4 linked regions of the Tamandua tetradactyla genome follow. The protein of the gene in region 2 interacts with the protein of the main gene of each other region in a pairwise test. Links are inferred from orthologs where the notes say so. Each region holds a gene or a part of one and is shown on either strand. Other genes may lie near its edges. The genes, in order: NUTM1, FAM161A, DHX32 and CDR2.

Region 1 (7,699 bases), on a different chromosome or scaffold from region 2:
GTTGATCCTTTATCTGGTGAGTGTCCCGCAGTTCTAGTTGAGCAAAGTGCGTGCAGGCCCACCCTATCAGGCGAATACAGTATGGATCAGATTGCAAAAAAAGTGTACACCTGGCCACCTGTTGTGCATCAGGTGAATACCCCACAGGTTTGGCTGGGAGGAGGTGTGTGAAGAGCCACCCGATGTTTTTGAGGCCAATAATCCACTTGGGCCTGGTGGGAGAGGTGCGCATGCATAACGGGAAAAATATCCCACTACTGGATGGAGAAGAAAGAGAAGGGTGAGCAGCAGAGGGTGCAAGGCAGATCGGAATTCTGCCGCCGAGATGTCTGCGGGGGTGGCGAGCCCGCTCTTCTCCCGGCAGTAAAGGTCCCTGGGATCTGGGAGGAAAAGGCTAGCGGATCAAGACACCTCGGACTGCAGCTCGGGGTCTTGGCAGGTCGTTGTCAGTCCATCGAGCTCACGGTCTGCTTACTGATGATGTGTCTTGCGTGTGACAGGAGATGCTTCCTCCCCTATCAGGACCCCAGCGCAGGTCAGCCCCTCGCCGTCCTTCAGGTTCTAGCAGAAGAGGAGACTGCCACGCAGGCTGCCACCGGATGAGAAGGAGGGGGCGATCCGGCGTAGGGGAGTAGGAGGTCGCAGGTGCCGATCCCCGCGCCAGCTGATGCTGGTGCGCGCGCAGCTGTTGTTTACTAGCCGGTAACTGTTTCCGAGCCGCGGCGCGCGTGGGAGGGCTCCGGCAGCAGGGGAGGGTGCCCCCTCCCCAGTCAGACGCCAAAGCAGCCGTTACGTGACCTCGCCACCCCCAGCGCCCGGCCCGGCGGTCTGCAGCCTTGCCGCCGGAGCCCCTCCTTTCCCGCCCGACTCGTTCCTCATTCGAGGTTAACAGTCCGGAAAAAAAACCTGGGGGAAGGGTCGGAGGGCGGCACCGTCCTGCGCGCGCCCGGGAGCCCCGCCCAGCCTCTGCGGCCCGCGAGGTGACGGAGGACTGCGCGCATGCGCCCACCCTGGGCCCAGGCGAGCCGGGTGGGCGGAGGGGGCGGGGAGTAGGACCGAGCGTTTGAGGGTCCTGGGGTATCGCGGAAATTGGCAGTCGGATGTAGGGGCGGAAGCCTCGCGGGGTAGGACCGGGGTTGCAGTACTTGGAAGACATTTCAAAGAGGAGACCTCAAGGGCCATCTCTCTTTAATAAGAGTGTTTCTGAAAATACCATTCATAATCTCTGTAAGAATTATAACAATCCCCCCATTCCAAATATTTACGTATGACCCTTATGGGAATTTTATGTAGAATTCTATCCTAAAGCGTAGAGGCAGCAATTTTAGACGCACTGGATACTGCATGATTTTTCTTGTTTCCGTCTTTTGAAAAATAGTAGGCCCATTTTCTAGTCAGACTGAACGTTCCATTAAAGAACACTTTAGATAAATAATTTTAGACCTGGAAAAGACATTGAGATACTTTCTCTCTACTCCCAGTGCTCTCCCTATTACATTTACTGGCGATGGAGTTATTTTTTAGTGTGTATATTTAATGCATAAAGAGGTGTTCAATAAATGTTGACTAAATTTATTTGCTGTGCCTTTGATCAAGACATTTAACATTCTGGTCCCAGAAATTGGCCCTTGGCTTTCCCCGGGTCTTTGCTCCTCACAAGTGGAACTGTTTAAACCGCATCTTTAAAAATTGGTTCAGAACTGTAAAGACCCAAGCCAGGAAAACCCCTTTTCATCAAGTGGTACACAAAGTCCAAAGTCCATTTTAAAAGACCCAGGTAACAAAATGAGGAAAAAATGTGCAGCTCCTGAAGCCTGAACCTTTATAAAGCCTGTGGTACTTGATTCAGGTTCCTAGCTTTCTTACAGATACAGCAAGAAATCCATCTCCCCAAGGGATATTTTTAACTCAGGCAGGCCTGTTTTTCACTGGAAACCCACAGACTTTCCTTTGTTAAGAAATGCTGGATTTTACATCACCAATTTTTTTTTTATCACAGTGTACTTACATTTACTTATATATCCTACGTAATGCTAATATACTATAACTCTTAAGATTCCTCTCTTGTCTTTGAGCACTCATCAAGCTCTATAAGTTTATGTCCCAGGAGATGTTAATACCGAAGGAAAAAGTTCTCATTACTGCACAACAGTTTGCCTTTTCTCCTCTACTTCAACTAGGAACATTTCCAGCCCAGGGTCTAATTTCAGTCTATGTTGCAGGTTCCATGGGGAACAATGCTATTTTTTTTTTTTTAAGAAAAAAATCAGCATTGCAGTCAACATTAAAAAATAACAGTAGAGTTCATTTACCCACTCTTAAGAAAAAGAAACTTTTAGCATCAGGCCCTTTTTCTTGTTACTCGTATAACTTTAAATATTTCACCAATCATTACTCTCTTAATAGGTTAGGATAACTCCTTAACATCCTTTCTACCCAATGTTAAGAACTTTTTGAAAGTGACTAGGCTAAAATAAAAAAAAAATTAATTGCTCAAAAGGAAACTATCTCATTTCAACATTTTTGTAAGTTTAAGTAATTAATTTAAAAATCATCTTTCTCCGTTGATTATGATCCAAGTCCAGAGACTTCCTTCTTTCTCAGCAGTCAACAACTGTCCTCAACTTTTCTGCTAGGATGGTCAGACAACATGGGCCAAGCGAAATGTTATCTATCCCTTTCCATTGTAGTCTTTATAAATGACATTTGTGCTGATTTGAGTTACTTCTGCTAATTTTGACAAAGTAGGAAAAGATTGCTGAATTAGAATATGTTCTCCAAAAAGCAATTTTTAAACCAATGGCACTGAGCAGGCACATTCAAATCCAACGTCAAAAGCCAAGTAACACAACTGAGAAATAGGGGTTGATTAACTTGACAATGAGAGGAAGAAGCAACCTAGCATTTCTTGAGTGCCTGGATACAGTATTTTTCTGCACCCTCTTAATATGAAGTAATTGGATTGAAAGTCATTTATTATTGCTCCATGATAGAAGCTCAGGTCCTAAAAGATTTCAAGTTCTTTCTTGAACCTCTCATACCTCACCTCATCTCCTAAATTAAAGTTCATGAAGAGTTCCACATAGTAGCTGCCAGAAAGAATGCAAAATTAGGTTTGTGTAAAAAGAGAATTGATTAGAGACCTAAAGTTCTGGGAATATTTCCAGAGAGAAAATATGCATGTGGGCACTACTATTCATAAAGTTTGGACAAACACTACAGATATACTGAAAAGAAAGACTCACTAAATCCTCTCAATTTTAGAGCTGGAAGAGAACGTTGAAATGATGTGAAAAATAGCACCAAATTCTTCAAGTTGCACAAATAGGGGAAAACCTTCATCTCCTGACTTCCAATCCACTGGCCTTCCTCTACAATATGGTTGCTATTCTTTTTCAATAAACTCTTCCATTTTGAGTCAAAATGTCATTGCTAGGGGGCACAAGGAATGACAACATGGGTATTTTTCAGTGAATATAGACAGTTGTGAAGGTCTTTCTCAACCTTTCTTCCCCTTTCCCGACGCACTCCGATCAACAACAGCACATCACTACTCGCTGCTACAGCAGCGACTGAGTTTTTCTTACAAGTGATCTTATTGCCATGCTCTGGGACATTTCCCCCTTCATCTCCCTCGTTTTTTTTGTTTACCAACTCTTTTCTCCCACAACACACAAAATGAGAGCTCTTTTAAATCATTCTGTCTTTAATAACCCAACAGTAGTTCACAAAATGAAAAGATTCAAACTTGTTTCCTTTATAGGAGATGCTAACATGATTGCCTCACACAAGCATGATCAAAGGCAATGCGACTAGATTCCAAAGACCAAGGGTGGTAATAAAACAGGGCTTCAAGATTCACAGACTGAAGAGCTTATTTAAAGAAAGACTCCGAGGGGTAGCAGGAGACCGAAGAGACATGAAATATGAGGGACCCTCAGAGGACAGGGCGCGGTTGCTGGGTCATGAGCACCTTGAAGCGTTTCTTGATGGTGATTCGGTGTCGCGAGTATTTGTCGTCTGGGGAGAAGCGGGCAGGATGGGCTGAGCAGGTCTGTTGTCCCATTGGGTCAAGCTTCTGCTCGAGAAGGGAAGAGAAAACACGATCTCAGCACCGGAGTGAGGGGCAAACTCAATTACTGGCGTCATAAGGTTGACTGAGGCTGGAATAGGGGGTGCGGGTGGGAACGCGATAAGGCGCAAGCAAAGGGTTAGGAGACGCGACGGTCTGTTCAAGAAGCGGCACAACCCTGCGTCTACACGCCTCGGTTCCGGCATTTCTGGATCTCCAAACCTAGCCGGTCTCGTCCGCCCGCCGCCGCCCCCTGCCCCCCATTTCTCGCAGTATCCTCTCCTCACCTTCAGCGTATAGACCCGGTCTCCCTGCTCATTGAGGTAAAAGTGGAGAAACATGACCACGCTTCAAGCAGAGACACCACTTCCGTCCGCACGCTTATCTGCGCCTCTGCCTGTCCCACCACCTCACGTGCTCACAACGTCCTTCCGGTATAGCCGGAAGTCTGTCTCAAGCCATGACGGGAATTGTAGTCCATTTTTGGCATTTTCTTCAGCTGACCAGAAGGGGGCGCTCTATCGCAGGATTTGGCCTGGGGGCCTGCAGTTGTAACCTTACATGCCTTGATGCGTGGAGTGTACCCACTGTGTGCCAGGCACTGCTAGGCGTTAGATGGGGGTGGGAGTGAACGTGGGTTGAACATTAATGAATAGAATTCTGTCTTTGTTTTACGATGCCCACCCATTTGAGGGGCGGTGGGTGTCTAACACCAGGAGAGAAAAGGACTCTGGGATTCAGTACCCCTTTACCTTAAAATAATTTTTCCCCCTCCCCGCTTTTGCATCCGGTTCCCCGCCCCTTTTCAAACTATTGGCGGTAAAGAGTGCATGATGGGTATTCAATATTCTGCACAGCGGAGAGAGCGTGAAGTTATTTTATGAAACTGGTGAAGTATGTTTTAGTGGTCGAACCAGGATTCAAACTCAGGTCTCTTTCCCGCATTTTCAGCGCTTTTTCTTATAGTGGTGAGTAACTAATGATAGCATAAAAGAAACACTTCTAGTGGCATTTTGAATTTTAAAGGAACGTAGAAATTTTCTTTATGGGGCTGTAGCTTAAACAAATGAAATTAGAACCAAGATAGCATTACAAAAATGATTATTGCAGCAATATCTATAATGCAAAAACACTGAAACATATTATTAATTTATAACCACAAAAACCTGAGAGCTTTAAAAAAAAAAAAAGAATATAGCTTGCATTTGCACAAAATGCCTCGGCAAGGGTCCATAAGAAAAAGGTAATATTGGTTTCCTCTGGGATGAAGAACTCTGTTACAGGAAGAAAACTTGTTGCTGTATATTCTGTTTTGCAGTTTGACTTTTGAACCATGCTAATGTATTTACCTATTTAGCCAGGAGTAAATAAACAAAGGGCTTCCCTGAAGTCCTCATTTTATGTCATCTTACTGATTCCCTGTTTTCTGGAAACAACCCTGAGTTGTCTCTTAGAAGCTGGGAGGCTGAATTTTTTAATCTTGAGCCAGCACGGTTGTTCAAGGTTCGCATGGAACCATTTATTTAAAACAATTCAATTAAAATTATTTTTTTTAATTAAGTATTTAACAACAAGAAAATAATTTAACAAACAAAAAGAAGAACTTTCTGGTCTAGAACTTTTAGGCTACATGGCAGTTTTTTTATGTGGTGGGGCTTTTCGGCAGAAGGGATGACTGGTAAGGCTGGCCTGATGTGGACTGCCAAGCTTATGGTAGTAGACCATTTGAGGGCTGCAGGACAACTTTGCGAGTAAGTGATAGGCATATAGCAATCAACTATCCTGGATCTTCTGAGACAATCTGAATTTCAAATATTCAGTCGCCTTGATTCAGTATGCAGACTATGTGGTCTGAACTTCGTTTAGAAAATACAGCCATCATTGAATTAAGTCAAGGGTCTACCAACAACCTGTTATTAAGAGGAAGTCAGTTACTCTTGAACTGGGTGGGGCTGAAGAGGCAAAACTAGATATATTGGTGAAGAATTGAAGTAAATAGAGGTAAAACTGTTGTGTTGGGAATTTGAGAAAGTATTTTCAAATTGCCCTAAAGAGGTACATGCCAATTGTGCTGCCAAACCCTAGTTTGTTACCAAACTCAGTTAGTGCCTATTTTTCAGAGTCCTTCGTGGAATATTCCCCTCATCCGTACCCCCTATTCCAAGCCTCCCCTCCCCCACTGCAGAATGCCTTGAGTCCTAGATTCTAGTTCTATTTTGATTCGATCTTTACCTTCCCTTTCTTGGATCCCTGGTACCTTCTAAGCCAGCTTATTCTCTGGGTCCTGGAGGCTTCCAGACAGCCACAGTTGGTGCCCAAATCTGAGAGGATAGCTTCAGATGGAGGTAAGTCAGTGGGTGTCAGATAGGGAGGGTTCCTGCCACCTACTCTCCTGCCACCTACTCAGACCCTTGGGGATTCCCATTTGACACTTTTGTCTGACAGCAAGCTCTTTGGGCTGGCCTAGAGGGAGGAGACCTGTGGACCCCACCAAAGGCATCACACCTGGGGGAGGCTGGGGAGGGAGACTGAACAATTCAGACTGGAGTTTGGGGAAGGAAGAGGGCTCCTTAGGGGTAGATTAGGACACCTCAGAGGAAGTAGGCTAGGTAGAGAAAGGCTGGCAATTAGGAACTGGATTCTCTAGGAGGGGGACCACATCAATGTGTGTTTGTGCAGCAGGGGCAGAGGTATGTGGTGGGAGGGGCCCAGAAGGGTTTCAAGGGGAAGGCCCAAGTTCTTAAGTCTTTTTCTTTAGGTGCCTGCTCTAGCATTTTGCCCTGAGAGAACTGAGATGAGGTCACTCTTCATCTTATAAAGGGAAGAGGGAGAGAAGATAGGGTTGGGGGATGATTTTAGTCAAAAAAACAGTTCAGTGTCTCATCTGTTGCCAAGCCTGCAGGGAAACATTTTCCTGAAAGCTAGGCTGGAAAGTACTCTAACTGCCAGGGCTCAGAGCTTCACAGCAACTTCCAGCCCCAGAGATGGCTTTTCTTTCTGTATAGCAGTTTTCCTTGATTCATCAGGGCCCAGGGAGGTGGTGGTTAACTCCAACTGGGAAGAAAGCTTTGATTTTATGTTTTGTGGGACTCAGGCCTTCAGACCAATTTCATTTTGTTCAGTACTTTCGGCCATACTTGTGGCCTTCTGCGCTGCTGTTGAGATGACTAATTTGCTTATATTCCATGTCTCCTTCAAGGCCAGGAAGTAGAAGCTGAGTGTTGTCAGTTTGCCAGAGGAATGCTCTTTATAAGAGCAGGGTGGGGTGGGGGGATTAGTATGAATTTAGGCAGATTATCTTCTATTATTGTTATTTAAAGTCCTAGGAGACACGTCCTAATTAATTAAGCACCTTTTGTTTATCCTTAGTCCCCTTAACTAGAATCCACACAAGCAACTCGTGAGCAAGAATTGTGTTCCAGACTTCAATTATCCTTCTCTAAGCAACCAGCTCACAGTCTTGTTCTGAGTGACTCCTAAATTTCTGGTTTTAGGATTTCAAAGCAGAAGGACTGCAAGGCAGTCTGCAGCGCCAAATTTTTAACACGTCTGGCAGCTCTGGAAACCTCCCTACATCTCCCACCCTTCACCCATTTCCTGGTACTTATCTAATCTTCTGTAGTCATT
Region 2 (7,116 bases):
TCTTCTGCTTTGGTCCTTACATCCACTCCAACTATAAGTCCTGTCCATTCTAGAGAAATTTGTCCACTTCTCACTATCCCCCTGGACCCAAAGTTCAAGCAACCACCTAACACACTTGAATTACTGCAACAGCCTCCTAACAGGTTTCTTACTTCCACTTCATCAGTCCTCCAATCATTCTCCACAAAGCCATCAGAGTGAATTTTTTAAAACCATAAATAGGAATATGTCATATCTCTTAAAAATCTTCAACAACCTCCCACTGTTCATAGAATAAATCTAAATTTCTTCCCTTAGTATATAAGGCTCTGTGGGACCAGGGCCCCATGTACCTCTCCCCCTCTTTTCCAGACCTGCTGACTTTCTTTCAGATCCTTAATCACACAAAGCTCTTTCTCTTCCCATGTTAGGGCCTTGCCATATGCTGTTCCCTCTGCCTGGGATGTTCTTCCCACCCCCACTCTTCAAATGGCTGCTCTTTCTTATTCATCAACATCACTTTAACGTTACCAACTCATTTAAGTAGGTCCCATCTATTCCTTTCTTAATCATAGTACCCTATTCATTTCTTTCCCAAAATTTCTTGTCTTATAATCGTTTGATTGAAATTTTTATTGTTGTTACTGTTAACTTCCACACTAGACTGGAAGCTCTGTAAGGATGTGGACTATGTCTGCTTCACTCACCACCACACAGTCATTGAATAGCTCTTAATTAATGCTCAATATTTCTTGGAAAACAGAATGTCACCCAATTAGGAAATGCAGTGGAATTTTTAATGCAAACTATAAAATATTGCTTTATTCATGCCATCATCACCCACCTAATAAGGCCTAAAAACTGACACTGTCCCAACCCTCCTCCCTCAGGGAATGAGGTAGTGTCCAACATGGCAAGGGCACGTGGGGATGGTCTGACATTGGCAAAACCAACTGACTGAAAGGGCCTATTGTGGCAGTTAGTTCTTATATCAATCTTATGGGTGGATTCTTTGTCTGAGTTTACTACATTTTATAGATGACAAAGTTGGGCAAATTTATCTTTGAAAATCAAGTTAGAGACTCAAGCCAAGCCGTGATGAAGACAAAGCCTGGCTCCTGTGCTCCACCTCTTATTCCTGTCTTTTTAGTTCTATTCTCCTTTCCCCAGCGTCCTCTGGCTCATCAGGTCCATTGGGGCTGCTTATCCAGATTAGCTACTGGCTCCTCATAGCCAGGTAAATTCATAAGACTTCCATCATTTCTGTTTTCAGGATCCTGCTTTTCCAAAACTAGCCTATTGAGTAAACTCATTTATTCTAAGGTAACAACCATTTCAAATACAAATTGCAGTTTAACAGGACATGTGGGAAGTACAGCTACAAGTATAGGAATGACTGACTCCTCTACCACAGGAAGCCAGACAGAATTTAATCTTTGGGTGAGTTGCTCAAACAACAGTCCCGCTGGCAGTTGCTGTTATTATCAATTTATATAAACCGGTATTTAAATAAGACACACATTCTCTTATTTGGTTCTCATAACAGACAGTGAGATAGAAAGATAGAATTATTATTCTCCTACAGATAAGGAAACAGGCTTAAGGAAGTTAAGTGCTAATGTCATCTAGCAGATGGCAGAGCCTGGATCCTAAACCAAGACCCCAAGTCTTTTTCTTCCATTCAAACCTTTCCCCTCCATAGGTCTGCCTCTTTTGTTGCCCACCGCAACTTGTGTTGAGAGCAAATTTTATCATGAACAAAACTGACCCTAGGAATCTTACTCTTGATTCATGTTCTAGGTCTCAATCTGCCTTACTCTGGATAATCATGAGTAGTTTGTGTCTGTTGCTGAAATACTGACCATAAAAGGTGCTGCTACAATTTTCTCATGAACAGCTGTAACACAGAGTAGAGAGATTAGAATTCCAAAATATCCAGTGATTTCTATTAACCCCATTCCATGCTTTGTATCTGAGAAATTTTGGACATATGGTATTAAGAAAACTTAACCGAGAATAGGGAGCATTATTCCGGCAGGTTGCTAAGTTTAAACTCAAGGTTTCCATCTTTTAAGCAAACAGAACAGATGGCAGACTCTGTCCTCCACCTGGTGGCCAGGTGTCCACACCCATTCGGCAATGAAAATAGATCAGTGAAAAGGCTCTCACTCCACCCTGAAGAGGTGATCAAGAAACACGTAGAACCTCAGTAATTAATTTCTCTATTTTATATATAAACTCGATGTTTTAAACATCTGCCTCTAACTTATTGTGTTAGATCCACTAATAACTAGGACCTTAAGGCGATGATAAGGCATACCTGAAAAGCACAGCTAACTAACTTGAGTTTTTATGGGTTATCAACTATTGGAATAGATCAGTTTTACAAGTTAAAAAAGGAGGGGGGGGGGTTGGAGGTGCGATATCCGATACCAAGACATTCTGAGCGTAAGGAGTAAAGTTCTGTACTTTGAACTTCATAGAAATGGAATGAGGTAAATGCTCTTCAATACATTTTTACAACAATCTTCTCTTTGGTGACTATAAAGACTTTCCAACGCCTCTGTTTTGAGTATCTTCCGTGAGGGGCGGGGGGTGGGGTGGGGGGAGAGGGAACAAAGAAAGGGTGGGAAGGATCTGGGCAGGACACCGCGTTTCCCACCCTGTTCCGCAGTCGGGTGGGGATCCCACCCGCCCCCAGCTTACGCCCGGCCGGCAGCATCCCGGGTCCCGACCCTACGTTACCGACGCCGGCGCCGGCAACACTGTTTTCTCCTCCTCTTCCTCCTCCAACTCCTTCAAGGCCGCCGCCTCTGCCGCTGCCGCCGCTGCCGCCAAGGCCTCCAAGGAGTCCTCGTTTTCGTACAGGGCGGAATCTACCCGGGTTTGGAGAGCAGAGGCCGCTAGCTTCGCTGCTCGGTGCGAGGTGTCCATCACCGCGCCGCCGAGGCCTGAGCGCCCGCGCTGGCCCCGGGCAGCGAAGCTGAAGCGGCCTCGGGCGACCCGCCGGCTCCTTACTTGGGGCGGGCGGTTACTAGGGGCGCGGTAACCAAGGACGCTACGGGCACCTCGAGGGACCAAAAGCCATACAAATTCCTCTCACTTTACCAAAGACGAGGGTCGGGTGTCTCCTGATTAGTGGAAGTCAGAGCTGAGTTCGACTGCTGGTTTGGAATAGACTGGAGGAAAAGGGAACTTTTTCTTCTCCTTCGCATTTCAACGCCTAAACGCAGATTTCTCACATTGTATTAATTAAATAACGCGTTTTATGTAGAAAATACACGTTTTATTCATTGAGATAATACGTTAGTAGAGACAGAAGCGGAGAGGAAAGGAGGAGATATTGTGTGGCGATGGCAGCTTTACATCCCTCTTCCTAACGTGTCCCACTCTTCTTTGATCTGACTGATAAAAGCCTGAGTGAGGAAGAGCCTGCCCTACCCACCAGTGAGTGACAGCCCAGGTAGCGTGAATCTGGCGTTTTTTTGCTTTGTCAGCTGAGTTGGAAGGCGTGAATTCCATGGGGACGGCAGACACAAGCCTTCGCCACCTCATCCCTATGAAGTCCTCCCACTCCGGGTCCGAGGACTTTATGTGGTACCTTCCCCCGGAACCAAGTGGTTATAAGAGACTCCGAGCCTCAAAAAAGTCAGCGAGGCGCAGTCTCAGCCCCGTGCTACCCAGCCCTTCCTACTTCCTGAAGCCGAGGCTGCCGCAATCCCCCTCCCCACTCTATCCTCTTCCCTCGCTGGCCCATTACCAGACCTCACCGCCATAAAGTTACAGAATTTTTCTCCATTGTGCAGCAGAACATCTAGAATCCATTAATAAGGTCTCAGCCCTTTTTATTTTTTTATTTTCCTGGCACTAAGTGATGCCAGGCTTCATAGGAATCCCTCCCTCTGTGCTCTGCCAACCTAGAGATGCTTTGCTGCATCACTTTGAATCTTTTTGCTTAATACACACGTGGAGTATGGCCTGATAGCTTCTTACCAAGCGTTCCTTGTTTGCTGATTGGGAGTGTGAGCACCTGCAAAACCCCCCATGCCCTCACCTTCTTCAGATTTTTGGCTGAGCATTTGCTTGGCACACTGGAACAAATGCTGGCTGAGTTCTAAGCATAAGGAACACCCAAGTCGCTTTCCGTACTTTGTATGGCAAGCCAAAAAAATATTAATCATCCAGTGAAAAGAATAAGGAGAATTTGAACAGTGCAATTAACAATCAGATAATGTATATCTATCAGATGATACATAACTAGCATACATGTATATTTAACACAGTTCGAGAATATCCATTCCTTTAAGCATACACGGAACATTTATGAAAGTACCCATGGTATTAAGTCATAAAACTAACTCAGTAGGTTTCAAAGGATTGACGTCATACAATCAACAAGCTCTGATCACTTAATACAATTAAGTTAGACATTAATAAAAGAATGATAATAAGAAAGACCTTTTCTGTACAGAAACTTAAAAACACTTCTAAAAATAATCCATAGGTTATGAAAGAATTCATAATGGAGATTAGAAAATATATAGAATTGAGTAACAACAAAAACACCGTATGTCAAATGTTTTAGATATGTGTGAAATGGTATAGTCACTTAAGAAAATAGCTGGAAAGTAGTTTCTCAAAAAGTTAAACATAGAATCACTATATGACTCACTCGTAGGCATATATGTAAGAGAATTGAAAACATATATCTATGGCCCTTTGCCACATGGCCTGGCATGTGGCAGTGTCTGCCAGTCTCTCCTTTGTCTTCTGGGTTTTGTTGATTTCAGCTTCTTGCCTTTGAGGCTTTCATTCTCTTTGTCTGAATTTCATTCTCTTATGAGGTGGGACACATCTTAACTGAAGTAACCCCTTCAAAGGGTCCTACTTACATGGGTTTACACCCACAGGAATGGATTAGATTTAAGAACATGTTTTGTTGGGGCGCATATAGCTTTAAACCACCACACACTTTATCATCAATACAGTATATACAAGTACAGGATACATGATCAGTGTACAATAAAGAGAGTGGTCAGAAAATTTTAATGAATGAATAATAGAGCATATCTGACATTTGCCCTTTACTAGCAAGTTCTCTCTGAATAAGTAGAAGAAATCTGAGGGGGGAATATTTAAAATCTTAATGAATAAGATTTTACAACTCTATGAAAATGTATTTACAAATTAAATCCTAGTATTGAATAAATTAATATTCAGTAAAATTTCTAACATACTATAATATCTCCTAATTATTTGTATGTTGTACTGGCTCAAAATTTGTTAGTAAGCACATACTACCAAGTACAAAGCTTTCTGCCTTTTTTACTTTATTATTACCTTATCTTAAAAAGAATTTACTAAAAACCCAGTATAGGATCACAGAATCCTTGATGACCTTAAAGATCATCTAATAATGATAATGATAATTGCTAGTGGTAATTCTGCCAGCTAGTATTCTAATTGTTTTGCTTATATAAACTCATTCCTTCCCTATAACAATCCTATGAGAGTAACTAAGCTATGGTTATTCTTTTACAGAGGAAGAGATTGTGTCACGGAGAGTTAAAGAGCTTACCCAAAGTGGGAAGTTGCAGAGCTGTGACTGGCACCCAGGCAGTCTGACCCCTAGTCCATCCTTTCCACACCACCTTCTCTCTTGGACTGTGCTGTCTTTCCTGGGATATCTCAGGGGATGGGGAGATCATGACTTCAAAAAACCCTGTCCTATTGTTGGACACCTCTATTTGCTTCCTTGTGATGTACCAAACTTCTTCCTCCTGTATATTTCTTACATTCGTCCTGGCTTGGTCATCTAGACTAGGGGCTTCAACCCAGATTCTTTCAGGTTTAGTCTGGGTATAAAGAAATGGTGATTTCAGGATTTTTCAAAAACTTGTCATTTGATGATATTTGTTCCAGTTTCTGGTTTGCTTTAGATCGCTACTAGCTAGCTTAATTTCTTCTTCCATATAATAACCCTTCATATGATAGAATGCAATATGATGTGTCCTGCCAACTTTTCTCACTGTATGTTCTTGGACATGCTATTTAACCTCCTTGAGACTCAGTTCTGTCATCTGTAATTTAGGGATAATAATACCTACTTATTGGAGTGGTTTTAAAATTAACTTAAAGTCATCATTGCAGGAGGTCATATACTCTCATTGATAAAGATATACCTGATTAAAAGCCAGAACGGCAGGGATCCTTTCTATAAAGCAGTAGAAGAAGTTGCTCAGAATTTGGGTTTGAGGATTGAAAATATCATCTATTCTCATCAAGAAATAGTAACTGTTAGCACTACTAACATCAGTCCTGCACAGCCAAAATTATATGCCATAAATCCTGTGTACGCCAGTTTGAAAGGCTGTATGTACCCTAGAAAAGCCATGTTTTAATTCTAATCCCATTTTGTAAAGGCAGCCATTTCTTCTAATCCCTATTCAATACTGTATATTTGAAACTGTAATTAGATCATCTCCCTGGAGATGTGACTCAATCAAGAGTGGTTGTTAAACTGGATTGGGGGAGATGTGTCTCCACCCATTCGGGTGGGTCTTGATTAGTTTACTGGAATCCTGTAAAAGAGGAAACATTTTGGAGAATGCGAGAGATTCGGACAGAGCAGAGATTGCTGCAGCACCATGAAGCAGAGAGTCCACCAGCCAGCGCTTTGGAAATGAAGAAGGAAAACACCTCCTGGGAGCTTCATGAAACAGGAAGCCAGGAAAGAAAACTAGCAGGTGACGCTGTGCTTGCCATGTGCCCTTCCAGCTGAGAGAGAAGCCCTGTGTTCACCATGTGCCTTCTTACTTGAGAGAGAAACCCTGAACTTCATCGGCCTCCTTGAACCAAGGTATCTTTCCCTGAATGCCTTAGATTGGACATTTCTATAGACTCACTTTAATTGGGACATTTTCTCAGCCTTAGAACTGTAAACTTGAAGCTTATTAAATTCTCCTTTTTAGAAGCCATTCCATTTCTGGTATATTGCATTCTGGCAGCTAGCAAACTGGAACACGATGACGCTGCAAACTAGAACACTGTGACGCTGCATACTGCGGTAGAGATACTATAAAAATTTTACTAGTTCTTATGGATAAAGAAGCAGCCAATGCTCCTATCCAAAACAAA
Region 3 (7,848 bases), on a different chromosome or scaffold from region 2:
AACAGTTATCTAAACGAACAATGCAGGCGCCTCTGACTGGCATTTACTCTGACAAAGCACTTATTCTTTGGATATAATTGTACAAAGGTACAATGTCAGCTACACAACACGGTCATTCGTGGCCACTTTGTCTCTAAGAGGTGTACTATTTTCCTATTGCTGCTATGACAAATTATGACAAACTGGGTGTCAAAACAACACAAATTCATTATCTTAACAGTTTTGAAAGTCAGAAGTCCAAACTGGGTCTTAACGGGTCACAGGACCCATCGCCTAGAGGCTCTGGGAGAGAACGCAGTCCCCTGCCTTTTTCAACTCTTAGAAGTTCCCCACGCATTTGTTCCTGGCCCAGCATCACTTTGATCTCTGCTTTAGTCATCACATTGCTTTTTCTCCCTCTGCTTCCTTCCTCAAACCACCTTTTCTGATTCTGACCCCCTGCCTCCCTTTTAAGGACTGTATTGATTACATTGGACCTACTTATAATCCAGGATAAACTCCCCATCTTAAAATTCTTAACTTAATCACATCTGAAAACCCTTTTTTCCAGGTAATGTAACACATTCACAGGTTTAGGCGATTAGGACATGGCCATCTTTGAGTTAGCCTAACATAATAGCAAAACACTGGGAACAAACTGAATATCCACCTGTGGGGGACTAGTTAACAAATTATGGTACATTCTTACAATAGAATTCTATGTAACTGTTTAAAAAGCTCGTAATACACTAAACAGAAAGCTCTCCAAAGTACGTTAGGTGAAAAAAGCAAGGCACAGAACAGAGAAAATAAATACAGTACAAGTAATTTTCTTGAATATGAAATGCTTAGACTTTCTCTGAATATACCAGGAACTAATAATGGTAGTTACGTGCAGGGCAGGAACTGGGTAGAGACATTACAAGAATGGGAAGCAGACTTTTCACTATATACTTTAATATTTTTTTTTGAACCCTATAACTATATTATTTACTCAAAAAGTAAAATGGTAAAGCCTAGAAAGAATAAGAAGGAAACAAAATGCAAAGGGATTTATGTGGGGCTGGAACATGGAAGGTTAGGTCTCACAGTAAAAGATACAAAATGGTATCTGATTCCAATGCTGGATAACAAATTACCCTAAAACTGAGTGGTTTAAAACAGCAGCTTATTATCTCTGTTTCTCAGTTTAGGAGTCTGGGAGAGGCTTAGCTGGGTTGTTTTGAATCCAAATCTCTCACACGGTGGCAGCCAAGTTGTTAGCCAACCATCTCAAAACTGTACTGGAGCTAGAGAATCCACTTCCAAGCTCACCAACTGGGTTTCGGCAGGCATCAGTCCTCACTGGCTCTTGGCCAAAGGCCTCCATTTCACATTGTGTAGGCCATTCCATAGGATGCTACTATAAGTTGAATTGCATCCCTCAAAATACATGTTCAAGCCCTCACCCTATGAATATGCCCTTATTTGGACATAAGATCTTTGAAGATTTTATCAGTTAAGATGAGGCCAAACTGGATAAGGGTGGGTCCTTAGTCCAATATGACTGGTGTCCTTACAAGAAAAGGAAATTGAACATAGACAGACAGACAAAAGGAAACACCGTGTGACAACTGAGGCAGAGACTGGAGTCCAAGGATTGCTTGTAAATCACCAGAAGCTAGAAAGAGACAAGGAAAGATTCTCCTCTGCTGATTTTGGACGCCTAGCCTCCAGAACTGAGAGGCAATGAATTTCTGTTGTTTAAGCCACCCAGTCCTTAGTACTTTGTTATGGCAGTCCTAGAAAACTCAGACAGGATGACTGAATATGCTCAAAACATGGCAATATACAGGTGAGCCAACAAAGAGAGAGAGAAAGAGGAAGCCAGCCAAGGCAGAAGCCACATCTTTCATAACCTAATCTCAGAAGTGACATATCATCACTTCTGCCACATGCTCCTGGTCACACAGACCAATTTTGGTGCGATGTGGGAGGGAACTGACCACACAAGAGTGTGAACACCAGGAGGCAGGTGGGGATCACTGGGCATCATTTTGGAGGCTGGCTACACCACAGGATCAAGAGCAGCTGAGGACCAGGAATGGGTGAGTAAGCATGACGGAAGGTAGAAACACCAATGACCACAGTGAGTCTGGAAGGCAGGAGGGAGACTGGCCTAACTGAAACTCTAAGACGGTGCTGTGAAATAGTGAAAATTAAAACGGAGAGTGGGGTTTGGCCCAATTACTGAGGCACTTATTTGCCATTGATCTTACTCTGATTCTTTCATACATGTTAGGGTATCTCCTCTGCTGGGAGGTGATTTCTTAAAGAAGAGGGAAACATTCTTATCCTTTTTTTTTTGGACATGGGCAGGCTCCAGGAAATGAACCCAGGTCTCTGGCACAGCAGGCAAGAAGTCTGCCACTGAGCCACAGTTGCCTGCCCCATTCTTATCCTTTTAATGTCTTTAGGATCTGTAGTGATAACCTGTTCATCATTGCTTTTATTATTAGTCTGTGCCTGATCTCTCTTTTTCTTGATCAGTCTTGCTACAGATCTGTACTAGTTACCTATTGCTGCATAACAAATTACCCAAAACTTAATGCCTTTAAACAACAATCAATATTATCTGTGGTAGGCATAATTCTAGATGGCCCCTTAATCTCCAAGTCCTGGTGTTATACCCTGTATAATCTCCTCCCCTTGAGAGTGGGTGGGATCTGTGACTTTCTTCTCAGCAACAGAATATTGCAAACAGGCTGAGATGTCACTCCCATGACTGAGTTATGATATATATATATCTCCATCATCTTACTTGGAGGCATTAGAGAGATGATTCTCTGTTGAAGGGAGTAGTCATGCTGAGGAAGCCCAACTAAAGTGGTCTCCAGGACACAAGAGCCAGCAAAAAACTGGGGCCCTCAAACTTAAGGATATAAACAAGTTAATTATCCCAACAGCCTGAAGGAGCTTTAAAGCAGATTCCTCCCCAGACAAGCCTCTAGATAAGAACCAGCGATGCCATGATGGCCGCCTCCTGGGATACTGAGCAGAGGTGATAAAGCTGACAGTGGCTCCAACACTTTGTTTAGTTGGTTCATTGAAATCTGGACTCAAAGGTGGCCAAAACTAAATGAATTTGCAATGTCAGTACTTCCGTGGTACACTGTAGAGCAGGAGTTGACAAACTTTTCTGTAAAGGGACAAACAATACGTATTTTAGGCTTTGCAGGACAGACAACCAAAGGTTTGAACAGCTGCTTCATAAGAAAGGCACAATGCATGAAGTACACAATATCAATAGTCAAGGAAATTTAAAAAGTAAAACTGCAATGATATACTTTACATTCATTAGACTAGTAGAATTTAAAAAGAGAATAAGGGAAAACAAAACAAAACAAAACCACCAATATTGGCAGGGATACAGAACAGCTGGAAGTCTCATAGGTTGCTGGTGAAACAACTTAGCAACACCGATATCTACCCAGCAATTCCACTCCTGGGTAAACATGCCACGGAAATGTACACCTACGTATGCCAAAGACACGTACGAGAATATTCAAAGCAGCGTTACTCCTAATATCCCCAAGCAGGAAACAACCCAAAAGAAGAAATAAAATGTGGTCCATCCATACATTATACAGTAACTGTGGAAAATAACAAACTACTGTTACATGTAACTGGATGACTCTCACAAGTATGTCGAAAAGAAGACAGACCCCAAAAAGCACATAAGCTGCCATTTAAATAAGGCTCAAAATTTGATGAAATTAATCCATCAAGATAGAAATCCGACTCGTGGTTCCTTTGATAGTGGTAATAACTGAAAAGGTACAGAAGGAAGACTTCTGGGGTACAAGTAATGTTCTATATTTTCATCTGGATGGTTGCAATATGGGTATGTTTAATTTGTAAATATTCATCAAGCTACACACTTAAGTGTATAGTATGCCTATTATATTTCAATAAAAAATAAATTAAGAATACTGATTGCCCAGGGAGGCATAATACATTAATTTAGCAATGCTATTCAAGCTTGGTATGAATTACTTTACTAGAGGACTACAGTACTTGCACTATCCTGAGTAAGCCAATTAACTTGTTTCTCTCCAGAGATATGATTGGTAAGGGCATTTTGAACATAAAATTCTGTGGCTGATTGTTCCATTCTTTGATTCTCTTGTTCTTGTATGAATAAAGGGATTCATGGGAAAGATGAACCTCTTATCTCTGTCTCAAAGAAACTTCTAATGGGAGAGTTGAACATATAAGCATATATGATTGTAATATGTTAGAATAATAAAAGTATTAGCAAAATGCAGACATGGTCCTGAGAAGGGAGAAATGAACTCTAATTCAGGTTCAAGTGGGTAAACAGGCAGGCCAAGCTTCTAAGAGCCACAGATGGCAGAGAGAGGTCCTAAAGGACAAGGAGGCATTGTCAATGGCGGGGAAGGAGAGCATTCCAGGCAGCCAGGCAAGTGGAAGGGGACACCGACCTGAAAGAGAAAGCAGGGCAAGGGTCCTGACAACCTGGAAGGGGCAGGGGACAGCTAAACAGAACTGGTCTAGAAGAAAGGAACACAAAAGTCCCAATAATTTTGGCAAGAGGGTCCCAAGGATAAAGGTCTCTAGTTTTGCCCCAGGCCTGCCACCCAGCCCAGTGAGCACAGGGCATCCAGCCCAGCTGCATGAGTTGTTTACTTGCTGATGAAGCAGCACCACCTTCTGTAGGTATGAGTCATTCGGGCCTTCCTTGGCGATGATGAGATGCACAGCCCCCCTTTCATCTGGCTAGTTCAGTTCTTGGGTGGGGCTGGGTAGATGCTTCTGAGCAGGCATGTTCTAAAAGTGCTTCTTTCTCCCAGCAAGAGGGAATGAAATCCAAGTTTTCCTGGCATCCACTCAATCTGAGAATAAGGTTGGGGGAAATACAGGCTTCTGGAGAGATATGGCTTCCACCATCAAGGCATTTGGCCCTGCCTGTGTGATTGGTTGCCCATCCTGAGGTCAGGACTGCCCGTGAACTTCAGTATTTAAGGTAAGGATTTTAAAAAACAGCTATTTGATGCACATTGTTTTGAAATTGTTAAAATATTTAAAACTTGATTTATAAAAGCACTTATTTTTTAATGATAGGATTTGAATTATGACCTAATTCACAGAGTTAATATTCTTTAGGGGCTAAGGCTACTTGTGAAAAAATTGTTACACAGACTTTTTAAAAGACTCCCAGGCTTAATTAAGACATTACTCTTACATTCTTCCCAGTTTCCTAGATAATTAATGAACATGTACTGCATGGTAATGGAAAGGTTGTATAGTGTCCTATGATTTGGTTGTCCCTTAGTCCAAAAAATAAGATTACTTGTCTCTTTCCTTAATTTTACTGAATAGATTGAGACTCTTAAAATGGCTCATTTGGGCTAGTAAAGAAAAAAGCTTACCATATATGCAATTGATCTGACACTAGATTTAAATGGACTTTATTCAAAGCATCCTCCAAAGAGAGCCCCTTCTGTTGGAGAATAAGTGGTTTTCCTTTTTAAACACACTGCTACGCTCCTCAGGAAATAAAACTAGAAAAGACATCCAGCTGGTAACAGTGGTGCCATCTGCCCAATAAATGTTTCTCAGGGATTCCTCTGTGTCAGGCTCAAGGGACATAAGGGCCAACAGGACAGACAGGGCCCCTGCCCTCATCTGCCACCCTACAGTCAGACGGAAGAGACAGAGTTAAAAAATAAACAAAAACGTTAAATATTGTGATAACTGCTACGAAGGGAAAACCACAGAGACAGAAAATAACATCAGAGAAGGACACTACTTAGAGAATCTGGGAAGGCATCACCAAAAAGGTGACCTTTAAGCAAAGATGAAAAGGATATAAGGAGTCACATGCCAGAGCAGAAAGAAAAAACATTCCTGGCAGAAGGAAAAGCCTATGTGAAGACCTGTATTTGAGGAACTAAAAGAAGACCAACATGCTGGAAGTAAAAATGTATCCAGGAGCGCACATGGGCTGAGTCTGAAGAAGCAGGTGAAGCATGCTAAGAAGCTTATAGGGTTTTGGGCAGGGAGGTCACATGATTCCATGTTCTGTAAAGGTCCCTCTGGCTCCCAAGGTGGAGCATCGTTGGGAGGCAGGTGGCATGATGCAAAAATTAGTAGAACTACGGTCCTGGTTTAAGCAAGAGAGGATGGTATCTGGACTACCCGCGATTACAGTAGGGAGCGAAAAAAAGGAGGCACATGCGGGGTATATTTTGGAGGTGGAATTAACAAGCCTGCTGGGGGATAGGGTGTGGGTGTGATGGTGAGTCAAAAAGAGGAGTCAAGGATGACTCCAGATTTTAGGTTGGAGTAACTGGGAGGATGGCGAAATCCTGTAAACAGGTTTGGAGAGAAGTCTTCACTTCTCAAGGTGTGTGCCTGTCTCTTAGTCATTGGAGTAATTTGGATCCATTTAGCACTTCTTTTAAACGGTAAACTTTAAAAAGGAAACTGCCACTGGTCTAAAAAGGGATAGGCAGCAATCTGGTTATAAAAGTGGGTACTGAAGCACTATCTTGATGCTGCTTTTGACAGATACAAGTTTCTACTGTCAATGTAATTGCTGAGAGTGATTTGGTGGACTAAGGACAATCTTGGAAGAGGGGCTAAAGCCCCCCAAAGCCACGCCCTGCCGCTGTAACTAAGAAATTAGGGAGGAGATAGTATGTTGAACTTAAGTATTTTCTAAAAAAAAAATAAACAAATGCAATCTGATGTGTTTTCCACGTTAATTTATACATGGGTTATCTTTCAGACACTGTAGCTAATTTAAGAAGAAAATAAGTAAATAAATTAGATCTCCTGCTAGATCCGATAACTCTCAACTGCACACCTCTGCCAAGCATTAAAAACAATAAGTGAAATAGAAAAAGAAAAGAAAATTCTAACATGAAAAGGAAAAAAAAAGGATGTTTGTTTGGCCTACTTCGTAAACCTCTAAGAATGTTTCTCTTCTTTCAATTGCAGACTAATTTAGGGAGAGGAAGGGGGGATCCTAATGAATACAAGACTCAGCAAAAGTGCTGATATTTTAGAAGCAGGATACCTACTTATAATAAATGGACCCAGACTACCAAAGTAAAATTATAGCAACAATGACAGAAATAGTAATTATAAGTTGATTCGTTTGGGGGCAATTTCAGGAAGGAACAAACTCTGGGGGTGTCTGTCCTCCGGTCCACACCACCGAGCTCTCCCGTCTATCCCGCTCCAAGCGGAGACCCACGGACGGCCCTCACCTAACCCGACACACTCCGCGGGATTTAGGCCCCTTTTCTCTCCGAGAGAAAACCGCGAGGGGCAGAGGAGAACCGCATCGCCAGGACAAATGAGTTAAAAGCCCGCGGAGTCGCGCACGGAGCGCCCACGCTTACTACTGGGGGAGGCCGAGGCCCCGGCCCTGGCTCTGGCCCCGCTCCCGACCCCGGCCCCGGCCTCCTTACTCTGGGGCTCCATGGTGTGCTGCTCCCCGGCCCTATACAGGCCGAACCCCGGCTGCTGGTAGCCGCCCCTCAACGCCTCCGCACGGGGCAGGCGTCTTTCTGGTTGCCCTGACAACCCAGGGGGCGGGGGCGGAAAGGCGAGAAGGACGGCGAGAGGGAGGGACCAAACGCCGTGAGGAAACGCGGGCGAGCGTAAGGGCCCGCGCGTCGCCCGGGGCACCGAGCCGGGGTGGCGGCTGTGTCGCCGGGTGCAGACACTGCCCCTCCGGCCTGTCTAGGCGATCGCGTCCTCCCTGGCGGCCCTCGCGCCCCCGACAGGGCCTGTGCCGGGGCCTCGCAGGCGGTGGCCCACAGGCCCCGCCGGCGCCGTGCCTAGGCGTCTGTCGGT
Region 4 (7,588 bases), on a different chromosome or scaffold from region 2:
GTCTTTCCACCTTGTTTGCAGGGACACATTTCAAAGCATGTACCATCATTACCTGCACAGAAAGCTCCTGCTGTCCCAGAAAGGACCTTACGCATAGAGATTATTGTCAGTATTCTTACTGTGCCAACTCAGGCCTCTGACAAAAGATAGTCTTCATCAAAGTGTTTTCTAAAAGCAAAGGTTTTCTCCTCCTGCCTACACACAGCTTCACGTTTCTAACAGGAATTTTTCAGCAATTTTAATTTTGAAATGACTGCCCCAACAAACTTCGATGCAGACTCAATCTACTTAAAAAATGGCTTATATCGTTAAAAGAAAAAAAGTATTTTGTAGTTCTAAGACATTTTGAACAGGATCTTAGAAAGCTGTTTGACTCACTGCTCTCCAAACAGCCTAGTATAGCAAAACTGATAGTGAGGATATTTTAAAAATCATACAGCTGTTGACACAGGATAAATCCCCACTACACCTGCTTAATCAACTTGCTTAAAGGACAGACCTGTTTACAGACTTCATTCAGCAGAAAGTATCTATAAAGAGCTACTGTAGGCCAGGTGCCATAGTGGGAACATTCCATGATGCTGGTGGTATTTCCACCGCATGGGCCAGAATCGAACCTACTTCTCTCACAGGGTGGGCAAGAATTCTACTACTGAACTACCTGTGCACTCAACTGAGTTTGAATGTCATCTATCATAACCTGTCTTCAGCTGTGGCCCCAGTGCCCACATAACTACCTGGTACAGAGTAGATAATAAATATCTGTGAAACGAACAAATTTTAAAATGCTTTACAAGTTTAGAAGTTAGTTAACATATAATTTTAAAAAATCGGGGCAAAGATAACCTTTTATGCATCCTGCAGCTGTGTTTTATAGGTCATTTTCCCAAGTTATGATTGTTGGAATTTCCTATCTTCTATTCCTACTCCTCACACTTTACTGAGTTATGTCAAAATCCATTTTGATAATAAATGTAAGAACCCTTTGAAAAGAACAGAAGAACCCCCAAATACAAACTGGCATCAAACAGGTTCAAAACAGTGTCCTTTAAGGTTCTGTTTAAACCTGAAGATCTGACAGCTCTGGTTTGATCAAAGCAGTTAGAAAACTCTAACGGTAACCCTATCAGGCTGCATTTGCTTCTCAGTAGATTGAAAAATTACAATGGGTTATTTTTAACAACCGCAGGGGGGAAAGTGCAGTGCGATTTAGGCCCCTGATGGAAGAAAGCCATGAAACCAGTAATCCTGTGGGAGTGCTTCAGTTTGGTTCAAGAAACATTAATCGAGCTTCTATTATGTGCTGTGTGTTGTAGTAGATGCTGGGGATTCAAAAAAATGAGGGCCATCTGGTCCCTGCCCTTAATGCCCTTGCGGATTTATGCATCTTATATACTAGAAAGAAAAACATTCTGCGTTGATTATACGAACTCCTTAATATATTCAAAGGAAATGGTGCAATTGCACAATGGTTGCAATTAACCCTGGAGAAAGAATCAAACTAGGCCATCAATTCTTATGGGAAAATCAGAAAACAGGTTTGTTAAAACTTAAGACAAATGTGTCTTGTGGACATAGAGAACGTGAGCGCAAATACTGGTATGTACAGCTCCCAGCATAATGATTTTAGAAATCACCTTCCCAAAGCAGGCACACATTTTATTTCCTTCTCCTAAGTTGAGTTACTCAAGTTTACGTTCCCTGTGGTCTCCCCTACCGAGTTCATCGCTCAGCATGTACAGATATCACGATCATTTAATGTTCAACTAAATGAGATGTTTCATTTTCACTGCAAGTTTGGAGCTGAAAAAAATGGATTTATACAGATTCGCAGAAACAGAAGCCTGAAAAAAAATTCCTGAGGATTATTTAGCGCTCAGTATCATGCGCTTGCTCTGGAGATTGAATTGGAATCCTAGCACCCCAAAACAGTCGCCTCCACCTCCAAAGTGCTGTTGTGAGGATTAAATGAGCATCTGTGTTAAGGACCTGCCAGCGTCTGGCACATACTCAAGTATCCCTATTGCTAGCTCCAGTTGGCAATATGCCAAAAAAGGACCACTGGCTTCAAAGTGAAGGCCACTCGAAGGTCCTTCTCTGGAAGGACGGTCAGCAAGAACTCTACAGGCAGGCCAAGCCAGGAAGGCAGGCTTTTAACCGAAAGGTGGAAGTGCAAATTGACGGAGGAGGGTGAGGCAGAAGTGCCCTCCAGTCAGTTCATCCGGCATCTGGTGGACTGTGCATTAACAATTTAAAACAAAAGAAAATGGGTTAACACCCAATAGAAAAAAACCCGTAAACCGGGTGGATAAGGAACGGACAAGGGTTTGGGCAGTGACTGGCTGGCTCCTCGTTCTGGGAGTCTACGGACTACAGTCTTTCCTCTCCGGGAAAATGGGGATGACCAAAGTTCCTCCCGGTGGGTGGGTGCAGATAAGAGGAGGGCAGGTTCGTTAGGGGCCTGCGCCCTTCCCACCGCGCAGGGATGCTACTGGCACCCACAGGGCTCCGCTCCAGCCGCCGCGAGCCCCGTTACAGCCCAGGGGCGCCGTGTGCGCAGGAGCCGTCACGGGGCGGCCACTCACTGTGGCTTAAAGGGTGAATAACCTAAGCGTCTTAAAGCGCTGAGAGCAGCGCCCCGCACACAGTTAGCCCTCGACAACGTTCTCCAGGCGCGTTATTATTCCTGCGCCGACACCCGGGGCGGGCACGGCAGCGCCTGCAAAGGGCGGCGGCCCGGGGCGAGAGCAACTTTTTCAACACAGTTCAGCAGCCCAGAGCCTCCCCGCTGCCGTGTCCCCCGCCCTCACCTTGCTGGAGGTCCTGGTGATCGTACCATGGCTCGTCCTCCTTCAGCTCGAACTCCTCCTCCACCAGGTTTTCCGCCAGCATCTCGGCCGGGCCCTCCGGGGGCAGCGGCCCCAACCGCCGCTGTCCCGCCTCAGCCGCTGCCCCGGGCTCGCTCCCGGCCCCGCCGCCCTCAGCCAGAGCCGTCCCGGGGCGGGACCCGCCCGCCGTCCGCCGCCCAGGCTCAGCGAGAGCCGCCCGTCGCCCGGCTTCCTGGCCAGCCTCGCGCCGCCCAAAGGTTCCAACGGCCGGCGCCTCGGCCGGCGTCTCAAGCCGGCTCGCGACGCCGCCGCCGGGCCCAACGTGGCACTTTGGCAGAACCCTCCCCGACCGGGACTGTGATTCAAACCCGGGCGGCGTCTTGGCCAATCGCGAGCGAGCCGCCGGCCGAACGGCGGCGATATCGTCCAATCGCGTCTCGCCGGTTGCCCGCGCCTCGCCCGGTCTCGAGAGCGGCAGCCAATGGCGTCTTCGGGAGAAACAAAGAAGGCGGGCAGATGAACGAAGGGGTGCGGCTGAGAGACCTCGCCCCCCGCTCAGCTCCGGGGCAATTTTCTGGGTGTGCGTTCGGGGTCCTGGGTTGTCTAGGCGGCCTGCGGTGGGTGGACCGGCTACCCGCCCATCAGTCAGTCAGTGGACGCGACGGCCGGAGGGTGGCCGGGCAGGCTTCGTGGACGTGAGGGGCAAGAACTCCGGCCTCTGAGGAGTGGAGGTGGTCGTGGGGCCTCCTTAGTGCGGTCGGGAGGCGCGAGGGGTGCCGGGAGCCCGCGTTTCCCTGCCTGGCCGCCGGTTGTCTGTCGACTCCTGGGTTTGCTCTCGTCGCGGCGGGAAAACTAAGGGTCTGCCGAGAGTTTGGGGCTGAGGAAGACACCCTCTGACTGTTAGCTTCTTCTCCTTGACGTCTGTTCTTATTCCCAAACCTCTGGGAATTTTCCTCACGCCCGCCCAAGGGTGTGGGTTTCACACCCATTTAAGAATGGATTATGAGCTTTGATGTAAAAGTCAAGGTACAGCTGCTAGAAGGAGGGGAAGACAGCATTGCTAATATCTGTATGTGACAGGAGGGGACTCCACCGATACTTTCTAACGTTTATGGAACAAAGAGGTTTTACTTTATATGAAGGATTATTCTTGAAAAATTTAAGGGAACAACGATCAGAAATTAGGTGAGAGGGAAGAGAAGGAGTAGTGTTAGCAAATTAAATCCTGAATCCATAGACAATACCTTAAATTGAAAATATAATAAATAGTTTTCAACGATGTGAAGATAACTGCTAAAACTAAAATGGAAAACCGTTCATAGTTTGCCTGAGGGGAGACTTTGCTTTTTATTATAAGTTTCTCTGTGATTTTGTGTGGCACATGCACATGCACACTTGGTGCAAACATTACTGTGATAAAAAATAAAGGAAATTGTAGGGAGGGAGTTACAGATCCTCAAATTACTATTGTTCTGTATAAAGGAATAAAGATGAGTAATTTACAGGAGGGGGGAAAATCCACCCTAAATATTCGTGTAGGTTTTAAAAAATGTAGTGTCCCTTCCCCTCCCCTTTCTTGCTCAAATTGGTGAAATCTCATGCTGATGCTGTAGGGTCTTCACAGCTTGACTCCAGGGTTGCTTTATGAATAGCCTGTAAGCTACTACTCTTGCCAAGGACAAGGAAACTTTCCCAGTTACCAAAAATTTTATCCTTTCATCATTAAAGAAGACTGCTTAATATAAAGTGGAAAGCACAGTGTATTCACAAGACCTGCAGTTGTAGCCTCAGTTCTACCAGCACAAAAGCCTTTAACTTCTTTAGGTTTATAGGAGAGATATCTCTCTACCTTCCTCACAGAATCAAAGAGAGAAAGTATGAGAAAGCATTCATGCCTTTTTTAAACATACGCTGCTGTTACTGATATTTTGGGGACAACTATGAGCATCAAAATAATATTATTAATGGATTATAACCAAATGAATAAAAGGAAAAATCTATGAATCCATACTGATATAAATGAATGAGTGAATGAATGAGCAAAGGCTCCCCACCCAGTATCCACAGAGGACAATACTATGATTTCTTGATTTTCAGAAAAGAGAGTTTTATTGTGAGGTTGATTGGCCAGGAGGCAAGGCTCAAATCTGTCTCCTTGATCTGAGAGTTAAGGGACATTTTGTGGGAATGGGGGGTGAAAAGTATAGACAGAAGTGGAGAGGTTTGACTTGGCCCAGTGCAATTGGTTAATCATAGAGTTGTCCATGTGTGGTAGAGTGGATTTTAGGCTCCATTTGGCATTTGATTTGCTTTCAATGTCTCCTTGTTCTTGTAATCTTGGTTCCAAGGGAGGTGGCATTTGTTCCTGGTGTCTCAAAGTCCATATAAAGGACAAAAATCTGTTTTCTACGCATGCTTAGGTTATATGACCTGCCGTTAAGCAAACTCAAAAGAAAAGGTTACAGGAACAGAGAATATCCCCATGAACCGATTTTTGTTCACGCATGGTTTCACTCTTACTTGTAATGGTGTTAGAAGGTAATAATAATAATAATAATAATAATAGTGATAATAATAATGAAAGGGGAATGAGAAATCATAAATCACTTTCTTTTGAATCCAGGTATACTAAAAGGCAAAATGTTACTGATCTACTTTTGTTTTTCTGATCTACTTTTTATTGCTAGGTTACAAAGAAGAAAAAAGTTAGGACCCTTGTAAAATCTCTACTGTCCTAGCTGTCCATATTCAGGTGCAGATATTAGTCCAGAAAAAGAAAAACAAAAGAAAATCATTTAAACCAACTTTGTTAACTTAAAAATAAATTACTGGGCTGGCCACGGTGGCTCAGCAGGCAGAGGTCTTGTCTGCCGTGCTGGAGACCCGGGTTTGATGCCTGATGCCTGCCCATGCAAAATAAATAAATAAATACATAAAATAAAATAAATTACTATAGATAGAGCCCTTTGGAAAGAGGGATGATTGGGTTTAGGATTTGCTGATGGTGTTTTGTGGAAATTGAAGGGCCAGATTCATGCATTTGACCTTCAAGAGACTCATCCATCTTCCATAGTTGTTACCGGACAAAGGCTGTGAATTCTTCTGCCCCCACACTCAATAACCAATTCCTGAGACATTGGGTATTTCAAAGAGAGGAAGAGTTTATTACTAGGCAAGTAGTAGGAGAGCAGATGGCCTAGCGGCCCAAAATCTGTCTCCCCAAACTGCAGTAATTCAGGTAGTTAGAGGAAAGATGGGCAGGGTTTAGGATAATAAGCACAGTGGCCCCAGATGTTGTAGAGGTAATTTAAGTATTGAGCATGTGCAGGTTGATTACATGCTTAGTCACAGAATGTATGTAAGAAAATGGTGGAATGAGGTGTAGGTGACTTGTCGGTTCAAGTGTAAGCTTCTGTGCATGTCAGGTAGGCCAAGCCCACTTTGGTTAGATCCCAGTCTCTCTTAACAAGATAACTTCAGATATGGGGTGTGTTGAGTTCTGGGCTGACTCAAGACCCTTCATTAATAAACATTACCTGCTGTCTTTAATGATTACAAGACTCTAAAGTTGAAAAACTGTTAAACTGGGTACAAAAGAAGGTTAGTCATGAGGTTTTTACAATAACAAGGGCAGAAGATAAGGGCTATACAATCATTAGCAGAGATCAAAGCAGCTGAATTACAATTTAGAGATTTTAGGAATTTCCCTCTTTCTACTCCAATGTACAAGAAAGCAAAAAAGGAATTTCTATATAGTGATTCAGTAATAAAAATCATCCCTTAAATCCTGATTTCTTGGTTGCATAGTCACCGATTCGCAAGATTGAAAGTGCTGGCTGTTTTTTTTTTTTTATTTAACATACAAACACAAACATTCTTACCATATGATCATGCCATTCATGTTATATAATCAATAACTCACAATATCATCACATAGTTGTATATTCAGCATCATGATAATTTCTTAGAACATTTGCATCAAATCAGAAAAAGAAATAAAAAGAAAATAAAAAAATTCAGGCATACCCTTACCCTTCCTTTTCATTGATCACTAGCATTTCAATCTACTAAATTTATTTTAACATTTATTCCCCCTATTATTTATTTTTAATATATTTTACTCATCTGTCGATAAGGTAAATAAAAGTATCAGACACAAGGTTTTCACAATCACACAGTCACATTGCGAAAGCTATATCATTATACAATCATCTTCAAAAAGCATGGCTACTGGAACACAGCTCTACATTTTCAGGCAGTTCCCTCCAGCCTCTCCATTACACCTTAACTAAAAAGGTGAGATCTGTATAATGCATAAGGATAACCTCTTGACTCTGTTTGGGATCTCTCAAGTACTGGCTGTTTTTGTGATAGCAAACAGAAGCTCATTTTCTTGATGGCAAATAGAAACTCATTTTGACTCCAAATGGGATAAGTATATTCAAACATTCTTTAACAATTGTCTTTCAAAAAATAAGTTATCTGCAGAATTGAAGTTTTTGATAGTTTAAAATGGCAACAACACAATAAAACAGGCTTTATGCTTTTTGGTGTCAGTGGTTCTTTTTATTTAAGAATTTTTTTTTTTTCCTGGAAAGGCTGGAACACAAATTGTGTTGAAAAGATGTCCTAATTTTCAATTGCTAAAAGCCCTGGTTTGGTGGGGTCTCTGTTATTCTCTTAGGATCTGCTTGGTCATAGCTTGGAAACAATCATAGGCAACCTCTTTAGCAACAGTATTTGTTTTATTGGTAGGTTAA

What was found.
Region 1: the proteins of FAM161A (region 2) and NUTM1 interact in binary tests that used the Homo sapiens proteins (3 or more experiments, as listed by UniProt). The two-hybrid records come from large-scale screens. The link is inferred for Tamandua tetradactyla from reciprocal best matches to the Homo sapiens genes FAM161A and NUTM1.
Region 3: the proteins of FAM161A (region 2) and DHX32 interact in binary tests that used the Homo sapiens proteins (3 or more experiments, as listed by UniProt). The two-hybrid records come from large-scale screens. The link is inferred for Tamandua tetradactyla from reciprocal best matches to the Homo sapiens genes FAM161A and DHX32.
Region 4: the proteins of FAM161A (region 2) and CDR2 interact in binary tests that used the Homo sapiens proteins (3 or more experiments, as listed by UniProt). The two-hybrid records come from large-scale screens. The link is inferred for Tamandua tetradactyla from reciprocal best matches to the Homo sapiens genes FAM161A and CDR2.

The regions. Positions count from the first base shown.
Region 1 is NC_135340.1:45,698,055-45,705,753, reverse strand, and holds the start of NUTM1 (NUT family member 1), read left to right. Parts: upstream 1-4,687; coding exon 4,688-4,705; intron 4,706-4,977; coding exon 4,978-5,040; intron 5,041-6,341; coding exon 6,342-6,417; intron 6,418-7,699. Other genes in the region: NOP10 (H/ACA ribonucleoprotein complex subunit 3), read right to left, coding at 3,938-4,078, 4,360-4,413. UniProt on the Homo sapiens protein: Plays a role in the regulation of proliferation. Regulates TERT expression by modulating SP1 binding to TERT promoter binding sites.
Region 2 is NC_135343.1:34,621,566-34,628,681, forward strand, and holds the start of FAM161A (protein FAM161A), read right to left. Parts: upstream 3,005-7,116; 5' UTR 2,914-3,004; coding exon 2,725-2,913; intron 1-2,724. UniProt on the Homo sapiens protein: Involved in ciliogenesis.
Region 3 is NC_135339.1:88,466,817-88,474,664, reverse strand, and holds the start of DHX32 (putative pre-mRNA-splicing factor ATP-dependent RNA helicase DHX32), read left to right. Parts: upstream 1-4,828; 5' UTR 4,829-5,005; intron 5,006-7,460; coding exon of another isoform or gene 7,461-7,473; exon of another isoform or gene 7,474-7,661; intron 7,662-7,808; exon of another isoform or gene 7,809-7,848. Other genes in the region: FANK1 (fibronectin type 3 and ankyrin repeat domains protein 1), read right to left, coding at 7,461-7,473.
Region 4 is NC_135349.1:34,859,478-34,867,065, reverse strand, and holds the start of CDR2 (cerebellar degeneration-related protein 2), read right to left. Parts: upstream 3,001-7,588; 5' UTR 2,893-3,000; coding exon 2,811-2,892; intron 1-2,810.